Mus musculus: one gene and its partners. The protein of the gene in region 3 interacts with the protein of the main gene of each other region in a biochemical or structural test. Links are inferred from orthologs where the notes say so. Each region holds a gene or a part of one and is shown on either strand. Other genes may lie near its edges. The genes, in order: Notch1, Spen and Rbpj.

The links.
Region 1: the proteins of Rbpj (region 3) and Notch1 form a complex in vitro, tested with the Homo sapiens proteins (5 studies listed by BioGRID and IntAct, with this or other methods). The link is inferred for Mus musculus from reciprocal best matches to the Homo sapiens genes RBPJ and NOTCH1.
Region 2: the proteins of Rbpj (region 3) and Spen form a complex in vitro, tested with the Homo sapiens proteins (2 studies listed by BioGRID and IntAct). The link is inferred for Mus musculus from reciprocal best matches to the Homo sapiens genes RBPJ and SPEN.

What each region holds. Positions count from the first base shown.
Region 1 is NC_000068.7:26,458,690-26,462,339, forward strand, and holds part of Notch1 (neurogenic locus notch homolog protein 1 precursor), read right to left. Parts: intron 3,557-3,650; coding exon 3,459-3,556; intron 2,288-3,458; coding exon 842-2,287; 3' UTR 1-841. UniProt on the Homo sapiens protein: Functions as a receptor for membrane-bound ligands Jagged-1 (JAG1), Jagged-2 (JAG2) and Delta-1 (DLL1) to regulate cell-fate determination.
Region 2 is NC_000070.6:141,489,990-141,493,639, forward strand, and holds part of Spen (msx2-interacting protein), read right to left. Parts: intron 3,608-3,650; coding exon 3,407-3,607; intron 9-3,406; coding exon 1-8. UniProt on the Homo sapiens protein: May serve as a nuclear matrix platform that organizes and integrates transcriptional responses. In osteoblasts, supports transcription activation: synergizes with RUNX2 to enhance FGFR2-mediated activation of the osteocalcin FGF-responsive element (OCFRE).
Region 3 is NC_000071.6:53,652,949-53,656,598, forward strand, and holds part of Rbpj (recombining binding protein suppressor of hairless), read left to right. Parts: intron 1-133; coding exon 134-237; intron 238-356; coding exon 357-672; 3' UTR 673-3,650. UniProt on the Homo sapiens protein: Transcriptional regulator that plays a central role in Notch signaling, a signaling pathway involved in cell-cell communication that regulates a broad spectrum of cell-fate determinations.

The DNA of each region.
Region 1 (3,650 bases), on a different chromosome or scaffold from region 3:
ATGATGCTGTTTGGAGGGATGCACAGAACAGTCCAGGCAGTGTTTTCTCTAGGAGGCACCACACCCTGCATGGCTTACTGGCTCAAGTTGTCAGGAAGGGGACAGTGGGGCAGGGCAGGGGAGAAGTACTCCCAAGGCCCATAAACACTACTACAGAACACTGGAGCCTGCAGACTCACGACTGGTACTGGGTAGTAGACTCTGCACATGCTGAGGACACTTCTTCAAGTCCACACTGGTGGTTACAGAAAGTGTACAAACCACATCATCTGACTTGTTTCCTGTTTTAGATACAAAACTAATCCATGAACCCAAGGTTCAAGGTCTGGGCGTGTTTCTAAACACATCTGCAAATCCCAGGTGACGCTGGGGGGAGGGGCAGTGAGTGTGGGGGAGGGGCAATTCTGGCCATGGCAGTTTCCAGCTTCCCTTCTCCTGTCACGTTCTTTTTTCTTTCTTTTCGATTTTGGAAAGAAGCAATCAATAAATAAACAGCATTTACAAATCATGAATCCTTGTTCATATTTTACAGACACACAGGGAACTTCACCCTGACCAGGAAAATCAAGGCTCTGAGAACTAGTTTATTTTCTTGGAACAGATATGTTTTTCCCTAGTGCCATAGAAAACAATACATATAAATAAAAAGGCAGTGTTTCTGTGGAAAATAAAAGTACATAAATAAATACTAAAAAAAAAAATGGAAATTCTTGTCCTCTTATTTTGTATAAAAACATTTTTTAAAAGGCTCCTTTGGTCGCCCCAGCATCCTGAAGCACTGGAAAGGACTCCCAACAGGGCTTGGGAACGGAAGCTGGGGTCCTGCATCCCACATCTCTGTTTATTTAAATGCCTCTGGAATGTGGGTGATCTGGGACGGCATGGTGGTGGGCGGGCTGGAGATGCCCTCGGACCAATCAGAGATGTTGGAATGCGGGGAGGAGCTGGACCACTGGTCAGGGGACTCAGGGGATGGGGTGAGGAAGGGGTGCTCTGGCACCTGCAGCTGGTGGCTGGGGGTGTTGTCCACAGGGGAGGAGGAGTAACTGTGCTGGGAAGGAGGGGTCAGGAACTGGGTAGTGGTCATGGGTGGGACCATGGAGGATGGCAGTGATGTGGGCAGGGCCTGGCTTTCCTGGGGCAGAATGGTGTGCACAGGCAGACTGCTGGGGCCCAGCGGTTGTACATCTGCCTGACTGGGCTCCCCACTCAAGAAGCTCCGGCCCAGGTGCCCATTGGCTGCCGAGCTCACACTGAGGTGTGGCTGTGATGGTGGCTGCAGGTTCTGAGGCTGGAGCTGTAAGTTCTGTGGCTGCACCTGCTGGGTCTGCACCAGGTGAGGCTGTGTTGCCAGCCGTGTGTTGGGCAGGCCCTGGTAAATAATCGGGGACAAGGTATTGGTGGAGAGGCTGCTGTGTAGTGGCCCCATCATGCTATGCTGGAGGCCAGCTGCCTGTGTGCTCAGTGTGCCCGGCGTCACACCCGGCCGTAGTGGGTTGTACTGGCTGGGCACCATGCCATTCTGGAGCCGGGGAAGCCACTCACACTGGCCATTCAAGCTTGCCGGTGCACCCACGGTGAAATTCATAGCCCCCGTGCCATTGGTACTCAGCACTGTGCTGGCACTGGAGGCTACAGGCAGGTGGGAGAGGCGTGGCGGGGGTGGCTCAAAGGCCAACCGGCTACCTCCAGCCAGTGCTGCCATCTCAGGCTTGGCTGCCACATTCAAGTGGCTGATGCCCAGGTGAGTGTCAGGCATACCAGGCAGGTGGCTGAGAGGCATGGATGGAGACTGCTGGAATGGGGAGGGGAGGAGGGGTGGCGAGGCCACATCTGACAAGTAGCCATGGGGTGACTCGAGGGAGTCCACAGGCGACAGCATGCTCGAGCTGTCCAACAGGCAGCCCTTGCCATCCTGGGACTTCTTCCTCCGTGCCTTGAGGTCCTTAGCTTCCTTGCTACCACAAGCCAGCCCTTTGGTGCTGGGCTTGCGGGCCTTCTTGCCCTGTGTGGCAGACTTGAGATTGCCCAGGTAGCCATTGGGCGAGCAGAGTGTGGGAGACAGAGTGGGTGTGCCACCCAGGGCAGTGCCATGCAGCTGTGGGCTGCGCACCAGGTTGTACTCATCCAAAAGCCGCACGATATCGTGGTGCATACGCTCCTGTGCGATGTCCCGCGGCAATCGGTCCATGTGATCCGTGATGTCCCGGTTGGCAAAGTGGTCCAGCAACACTTTGGCAGTCTCATAGCTGCCCTCACGGGCGGCCAGGAACAGGGGAGTCTCCTCCTGTAGGACACGGACAGGAGGTACATGAGGGAGCGGGCAGGTGTAGAATTTGCTGAGTCATTGATGATGGATGGCCTGGGGGGAGGGGCTAGGGAAGCAGGTGCTGCCTCTTTCTCTTCTCTTATCTGGAGAGATCTATCTAGACCCAAGCATCCTAGACCACCAGGCTCAGAGAGTATTTATAGTGGGGCCTTCCTATGTTGCTAGGAATCTCACTCAGGGCCCACAGCCGTACTTGGAACTCAGTATCGTCCTGCCTCAGCTTCTCGGTGCTAGCACGCACACATGGCTGGTCCCGAGTTCTTTTTTTAGAGAACCTAGATTTAACACCTCACACCCCAGAGATCTGTGGGATAAATACATAGGGCTTCTTCCCCTGTGTGGAGTCAGACTGCCGAAAACAGAATGTAACTGTGTGCCCTTTGCTTTCCTCCCCAAAATGCAGGCACAAGTACTGCAATCCTGGGACTCAGGGACCTTTAAGGCAAGTGAATGGCCATGGGGAAGGTACTACCATGCCAAAGGGTCACCAGTGGCTAGGGCATCTCAGCTCCTTCCAGGTCTGCTCTGTCCAGCAGACATAATCATACACCACAACAGAATGTCTATCAGGCTTGGATTCTCTATAACCACTGGCCCACCCTGGACTGTGGAGAACCTGTGCCCAACAGCAACTCCAGGTACCTGACTCCTGCTCCATTTCCCAGCCTGCAGTGGAGCTGGTAAGGGAGGCACAAACTCTGCCCTGTGAGCAACTAAGCAGAGTCCTGATGAAGCAACTAGCCCTGCACAAACAGAGACACTGGGAGGCGAGGTGGAGACACGCAGCCCAGCTCAGCAGTTTTCTTATCCCAAAGGAGGGAGCATGGTAGTGGTGGACCAAGCCAGAAGCCTTGCAGGCCTTAAGAGACAGGGCCACCCCATCCCTGCCCCTTGGCCAATCCTGAACCCCTAGGGTCACCACAGCCACCAGGGACAGAAGGGGACAGAAGGCAAGGCTCAAGTAACCGTGACATGGGACAGCTGCTTACGCCTCAGCTCCTCTCCAGCAAGAGCACGGGTTATTTTAGGCTGCTGTTGTCCCAGACACTCTTAAACCTCTAAGTGGTCAACGTATGGGTGCCCCGGAGTCCCCATCATGCGCCTGCGGTTAAGCAGCCCGTCTGCTTACCTTGTTGTTCTGCATGTCCTTGTTGGCTCCGTTCTTCAGGAGCACAACAGCAGCATCCACATTGTTCACCGCGGCCGCCCAATGCAAAGCCGACTTGCCTGGAAAGGAAGCAAAGAGAGGAGAGAGTGGGTTGGGGCTGAGCAGACCAGGCACTGGCTGATGTCCTCGGTAGCTGGGCTGTAGCTCGGGCCT
Region 2 (3,650 bases), on a different chromosome or scaffold from region 3:
CTCTGTTTCTGTGAGTGGATGGGGCAGAGCAGAACAGCGTGCTTTAATACTCTCCAATATACAATTGGCAAACTATGTCATTCTGGGCTTGGTGGACAGGCCTGTACCCTCTGCAGTCAGGAAACAACACTGACAGGCCTGGAGTGGCTGCACACAGCAGGCACTGTTTCAGAAAACAAGAAACATGTACAAACTGAACATTTCCCTCTCACACACAGAGAAATTTACTAAGAAAGGGTTTTGTTTGTTCAGGTTTGTTTTGAAACAGGCTTCCACCATGTCTTTGGTGGCCTTCAACACACAGATAATTCTGTGAGTTGTATGTAGACCAGACAGGCCTTGAACTCAAAGATCTGGCTGCCTCTGCCTTCTGAATGCTGGGATTAAAGGTTTGCAACACCATGATCAGGGCTACATTTAATATTACAGTGTACGTCCATGGTGTGAGTGTGGGGATGTGTGAATGGAGGTCAGTGGACTATTCATCAGTGGGTTCTCTCATTCACCTCTACAAGGGCTCCAGGGGTAGACTCAGGTACTACACACCTGTAATCCTAGCATTTAGAAGGCAGACCCAGGAGAGTTGAGAGTTCAAAGCCAGCCTGTGCCATATAGAGAGTGAGTTCTTGGCAACTGTGGGCTGCACAGGGCAACCCTATCTCAAAACAAACAAACAAACAAACAAACAAACAAACAAACAAAAAACCTACACATACTCTATAATCTACAATGAAATACGGCTCAGCAGTAACAGCTCCAATTCATTGGCTAGTTTCATTTACTTTCAAGATTTTAATGGTACATTTCATGGACACTACATTAATGTAGTAATTCAAATGTCTAAATTAAGATTTCTGGGGGATGGAAAGATGGCTCTGTAGTCAGGCACTGGCTGCTCTTGCAAAGGACCCAGGTTCAATTCCCAGCACCCAGTTCCAAAGGATCCAACACCTTGACTTTCCATGACTACCAGGCACAGACAGGTACACAGACATATATGCAGGCCCAAGACCCGTACAAGTACTATTCTGAAATAATTAATTTACAAAGACTTCCAGCTGTAAGAGTAACTATGTAGAAAGTGATTCAAGTGACATGCATGGGTTCTCTCTTTGGTGTTATGAGGTCCCTAACAACTTGTGTAAGGTTTCTTTCCATTTTGTTTTATAATGAAAAGCCTTGCTCCCACATCTAATATAATCCCAGCTTTGTTAGAGCTCCACTTATTAATGCAGACACTGACACTCAAGGCTTTGACAGTTACAGCTCAGCACTACATGTTCTCTACTTATGAAAATGAAAAACAAACCCAACACAACGAAAAGTTTCAGAAAGCTGGACGTGATGGTGCATGCCTACAACCCCAGCTCGGGAGGCAGAGGGAGGTGGATCTCTGAAGACAGAGAAACCCTGTCTTCAAAAAAACAAAACAAAAAATAAGATATGTAGACAAGCTGATGATATAGCTCAGAAGTGGAGCACTGTGTAGCATGCACAAAACTCTGAGCTCAATCCTAACACTAACATACATACGCATGCATGCACGCATGCACGCAATGAAGCCAGGCATGGGAGACACACTTCTGTAACCCCAGCAGAGGTGGAGGCAGAGGAACAGGAGTCTGAAGCTAGTCTTTGCTACAAAGCAGATTCAAGGCTAGCCTGGGCTTCATAAAACCCTGTCTTTAACAAACAAAAGATAAACTGAGCATGGTGGTCCCCATCTCTAACCCCAGCATTTGGGAACTGTAAGCAACAGATGTTGACTTTAAGGTTGGCCTGCTTTAAATAATAAAACTGTCTCAAAAGAATGAGTAATAACCCAACTGTTTTTGAATGCTACACACTAAGATTAGAAGGCCTTCTACACTAATCCATCTTACACAGATGCCCCTGAGTTATACCTTCATTAGTTAACAACTGACTGATGATGGCCTCAGACCTACACGGTTAGGTACACACTGAGTATTTCTCAAGAGCTGTATAATGTCCGCAGCAATCCAAGGAGAACCCCTGATACCTGTGGTGACGCTCACTTGTAACCTAGCACTCCAGAGGCGGAGGCAGGAGGACTACCCTAAGTTCAAGGGAATTCTGGACTACACAGTGAGTTCTAGACTAGCCTGTGCTACACAGTGAGATTCTGTCTCAAGAAAACAAAACAATAAAGAGCTCGTGAGCTGTTCTTAGTTGAGTGTAATTTGGGGCAGCACACTTACAACTCAGTGGGTAATGAGACAAAGAATGTCCTCTGGATTCTGGTATGATGTCTCATCTGACTGTCATTTGAGAGGACCTTAGAACTATCATGGAACTATGTGGATGTGTGGTGACGACTTTCTAGAGTAGGGAAACAGAGGTAGGAAGGTGACCCTAAATGTGGGTAGCAACTGCATTTAGGCGCTGATACACATGAGCAGCTCCCGACTGCCTCTTCCCGACCCCGAGATGGACAGCAGAACTGTGAGCCAGAGCATGCCCTTTGTCACTTACGTCACTTTCCCCACCAATGACTACAGTAACAATATGCACCTTCTATCCTCTAATTAAACACTAATCTCATGTCACGACCCTGAAGAAAGACTGGGGTGTTGGGGTATCCGTGGTCTCCTTGATGCAGTCACTGAATACTGTGCTGTCTCTCTTCTCTGCTTTTCACTTCTTTTTAAAGTTTTCGTCGTTTATGTGTGTGAATGTGTGCCATGTGTATGTGGTGTCCAGAGACCAGAAGAGGACGCAGATGCCTGCGAATGGAGTCACGGGCGGTTGGGAGCTGCCTCATGTGGGTCCTGAGAATCAACCCAGTGTCTCTGCAAGAGTAGTGATGGGGGCTCTCACACCAAGCACCCTGGGCTGTTCACTTTCACACTAACTCAGGTTCTGAGGATGATGGCTGAGCCTAGCTTAAGGCTGCCTCCAGGTCCAGGCTCTGATCCAGTAATGAGATAACCCAAAATCTGTAATAGTCACCTAAAATAGCAGATTTAATTTATGCTGGACAAAATGCAAATGACTCCCTCAAATGATATTCACATGCAGGCTAATTCTGGTCTCACTTTTACACGTCAATCACTCCCATCCTTTAGGGAAGGCTGAGTCCGCATGTGGCCTGAGCTACAATCAGATTCTTTAAGGCTTGTGTCTACAGAGTCAAACAAGACAAGCACATCTTCTCATGTTACCTGCTTCCCTCAAACCAGAATATTTAATCTAGAAAAGTATCTATTTCAAAAGGTGCGGGTTTCTCCATGGCAAAAGCACAACTCAGTACCCCACCCTTTAAAAACTAAGACATTGGGCCAGTAAATTAAGAAATGAAAGCAGACAGTGCCAAGCCCTAAGTACCACTCACAAACCGACGTGGGTGGCATGCTGCTCTGAATGAAAGTCAACTCTGCAGTCTCACCTGGTCCTACCCATGCAGTCACCTCGATCTGCATGCCGAAGAAGAGCTTCCCCTTGGATGCGGTCAATGCTTTTTCTTGGTCCTCTTGCTGCCGGAAGAACACCAGGCCGTATCTCTCCTCGGAGGCCCCGTGGATCTGCACTGACGTCACCTTGCCAAACTTCTTAAACTCATGGAAAAGGCCGTCTTTAAGGCTTGTGTCTACAGAGTCAAACAAGACAAGCACATCTTCTCATGTTACCTG
Region 3 (3,650 bases):
GTTTTGTAGTCATGTTATTTAACAGAGATGTTTTATAAATCTGAACTTGTTAACCTTCATGAAATTATAGCTCAAGCTCTGTTCTTCAGTGAAGAGTGAAAATCTGTCTTAATGTGGTTTCTCTAAATTGCAGTTGAATGGCGGCGGGGACGTAGCAATGCTTGAACTTACAGGACAAAACTTTACTCCAAATTTAAGAGTGTGGTTTGGGGATGTAGAAGCCGAAACAATGTACAGGTACTGATAGAGCCTGTTCTGTCACCCAGGGGTTGGGAAGGTGTAAGCCCCTGAGACTGTCCATACAGAGCTGTGTTTGCTTTGAAAATGCTTCTAAATGGTGTGTGTTTCCTCCTTAGATGTGGAGAGAGCATGCTCTGTGTGGTCCCAGACATTTCTGCATTCCGGGAAGGTTGGAGATGGGTCCGCCAGCCAGTCCAGGTTCCAGTGACTTTGGTCCGAAATGACGGGGTCATTTACTCCACCAGCCTTACCTTCACCTACACACCAGAGCCAGGGCCGAGGCCACACTGCAGCGCTGCAGGAGCGATTCTCAGAGCCAACTCCAGCCAAGTGCCCTCCAATGAGTCAAACACAAACAGCGAGGGGAATTACACAAATGCCAGCACAAATTCTACCAGTGTCACATCGTCCACAGCAACCGTGGTGTCCTAACTACCGTCTTTTTGCTGGGACTGAAACTGACTTGAATGCAGCAAAAAGTTGACAGAGAAAGGCAAGGATAAAGTGAACAATCTTTTGTGGTTTCTTGGGGAAACGTTTCGTACCAGGTGATCTATTCAAAACTGCCAGTGCAGGTGTGACATGCAGAGGCCACAGTACAATGAACAACATCAGAATGCACAGGCTGATGGAAATCCAGGTTTTCAGCTGTCCCTCTCACACGCACCCCTTTTTGGTTGTTTTGGTTTGGTTTTGATTTAATGGCCAGGAAACAGATATGTGGCTGGAGCACAGGCTAAGCTAGAAGACACAAACCTAACATAGACTTATGGACCAAGGGACTCGCATAAGCTTTAGTGAAAGGTACATTTTCACCATGCCTTTTTTATATCACAGTGTGTACTACACCTTGTTACCAAACAGGTTGCGCTCCCCACCCTTTGAGGGTTGGCTCTAAAGTACATTCATTCAGGTTCGAGCCTCACCATGTTTGTTCAGTCTGAACACTGAACACTTCCAGGTTCTTGTGGTCTAAGGCTGGAACTTTTTTAAGCTGAAGTCTTATGACTTTTTCATAAGTTGGAATTATTTTGATTTCAGCAAGTCAAATTTTGTAAAGGCCTGCATATTTTTTTTAAGATTATATGAAGTCTGCAAAAGCTTTAAAAATGCCTCTGCCTTGCCTGCAATACATGCAATGTGTGTTAACTGAGTCTGTTCTCAGAATCTGTTGGTAGTTATTTCTGTGTTTTCCCTTTTTTTAAAGAAATGTATTTATAGTGGTAATCTAAGAGATGCTAACAGCTCCGTGTGGCCATTTAGCCCTTTCTGAGTTCATGGCAGTGAGCACTGCCGTTCGAAGGCTGTGCGCCTCTGCCTGTTCATCAGTTCATCTGTGTTCCAGGATTTGTTCAGGTTTCCCCTTCCCCCAAATCTTGTACATAACTTGTATTATGTGTAAGTTAAACATTTTATCTTTACTTGGAATGTTCCCAGTGATTACATTTCACAGGGTGTTTCCCACCTTGTTGGCAAATGACAAAAAATATCATGCGAATTATTTGCTACCAAGATGGTGCCCGTAGGGTAAAATGAGGAACATCTCTGCAGGATGATTTATTGTATGTTTTCCTTTTTTTTTAGCCTAGCCAGAACATCATTATAATTTTAAAGACCATAAGATGGCTTTTATTAGATGATAACTAAATAAACTGAACTAAGTAGCCAGAAGACAGTACCTTAGAGACTGATAGTTGTAAGTTTATAAAAATACAAATGTAACTTATATTTCCATTTTCCTCTTTGCCCCTTTGTTTATTTTCCCCAGTAGAAATGTTCTGTCCAGATTTTTTTCCCCCTTTTTAGTTAAGCCTTGCTTGCATTCAGGCTTGTGTGTCAGCCCTGTGTGCCAATATGCCAGATTCATTTTGTTTCCATCCCTGCACTTTGGTTATTCCTTGTTCAGTTTCTTGGGAATTGAAGCAGACTCATTGGGCTACATTTAGTACAAGAACCACATGTGTGATGTTAAAGGACACAGTCTAGTGATGCCATCATCCTTGAGTAAAAACTACCTCTAGATTGTGGTAAGCTTTTACTGTCCCTTAAAACAGGAGCCACTAGTACCTTATGAATGCAGACTGTAACTTCTATGGCATTTTCTGGTGTCTTTCTGGCTCTCTGGGCTTCTGAAAGTTTTCACGTAGACCCTTAGACTCCTCTGTCAGGACCATTGCTTTCCAGCGTTGCTGCTTTCACTCGCTGTCTCGAAGACTGTACCACTGTAAGTGCCACTGCGAACATCTTTAAACGGCTCCTCCTTGGCTTGTCAAGGGGAAGGCCACCTGTAAGATGTGGTGGTGACAGCCTTCCTGTCCACCCCAGGCTGCTCCTTACCAGCTGTTCTAGCCGATTCTCTTCAGATCAGCTACAGCCCACCTCCTCCCCGCCCCGCCTCACCCCTCCAGGCTGTCTCAGTGGTCCAGGGCAGAGCTCACTGTGGCCTTACTGATCTATCTCTGCAGTAACTGTTCTCCCTCAGTTGCGATGGAAGCAGGCCCCTGCGATCTGTTCAGAGCCTGAGCAGTTTGCAGTTCCGTTGTGCTTTCTGAGGTCCTAGATTCAGGATGTAGTTAAGTCGATAACTGAGAACAGATGAGATGCTTTTAAAGAACAAACTCTTCCTTACCCAGCTTTGTAGCTTAAAGTAAGTTTTCAAGTTCATGGCTTTATTAAAATGAACTTTGACTTTTTAAAATGCTTATATCTCATTTCGGTTCTTTTGTTTATTTTAGTAAGAATTGAAACAGACTATAAGTAGTTTTCCTGTTTGTTTGTTTGTTTGTTTGTTTTTTACAAAGTTCAAGAATGTAACAATAAAGGCATTTTGCTATGGTTCTATGTCAGACTCCTACCACAGAATAGTGTGAACAGATATGTCTGTCTGCTTTACCATGTTATTGATAGTTCTTTTGTCAGCTGCTTTTATTAAAAGTCCTCTTTTGTGAATTTGTAAATCAATTTCAATATATGATGTACAGGAGTCTTGTCCCCCGTTACTGTGGAATGTTCCCCCCTGTTGATGCTGGTCCCTTTATCCTCTTATCTTCTTAGAACCGGGAATTCTTCAGTTGTGGTGTGTGGCTGTATTTTTCTATTCTGTTTACAGTGCGTCTACACAGCTTCTTAAAACATGTCGAAATGCAGAATCCAAGATCCACCATGAATTTGTCAAGAGATTGGAAGGCAGGCCAAAACCTGAAAATGTGGGGTGCCCTTTGTACAATTGCAGAGTCAAGCACTAGTGGGAGTTTGAACTGGCTACTGACCGCTCTTAAACTGTGGCAGTGTCCTTGGGTACAGTTAACTAGCAGAACCTGCTGTCACTCTTCCTGCCACCATCTTAACCTTGACAGTTTTGTTTCTTTTCTGTGTGGTGCTGGGGTCAAATCCAGAGCCTTAGGCTTGCT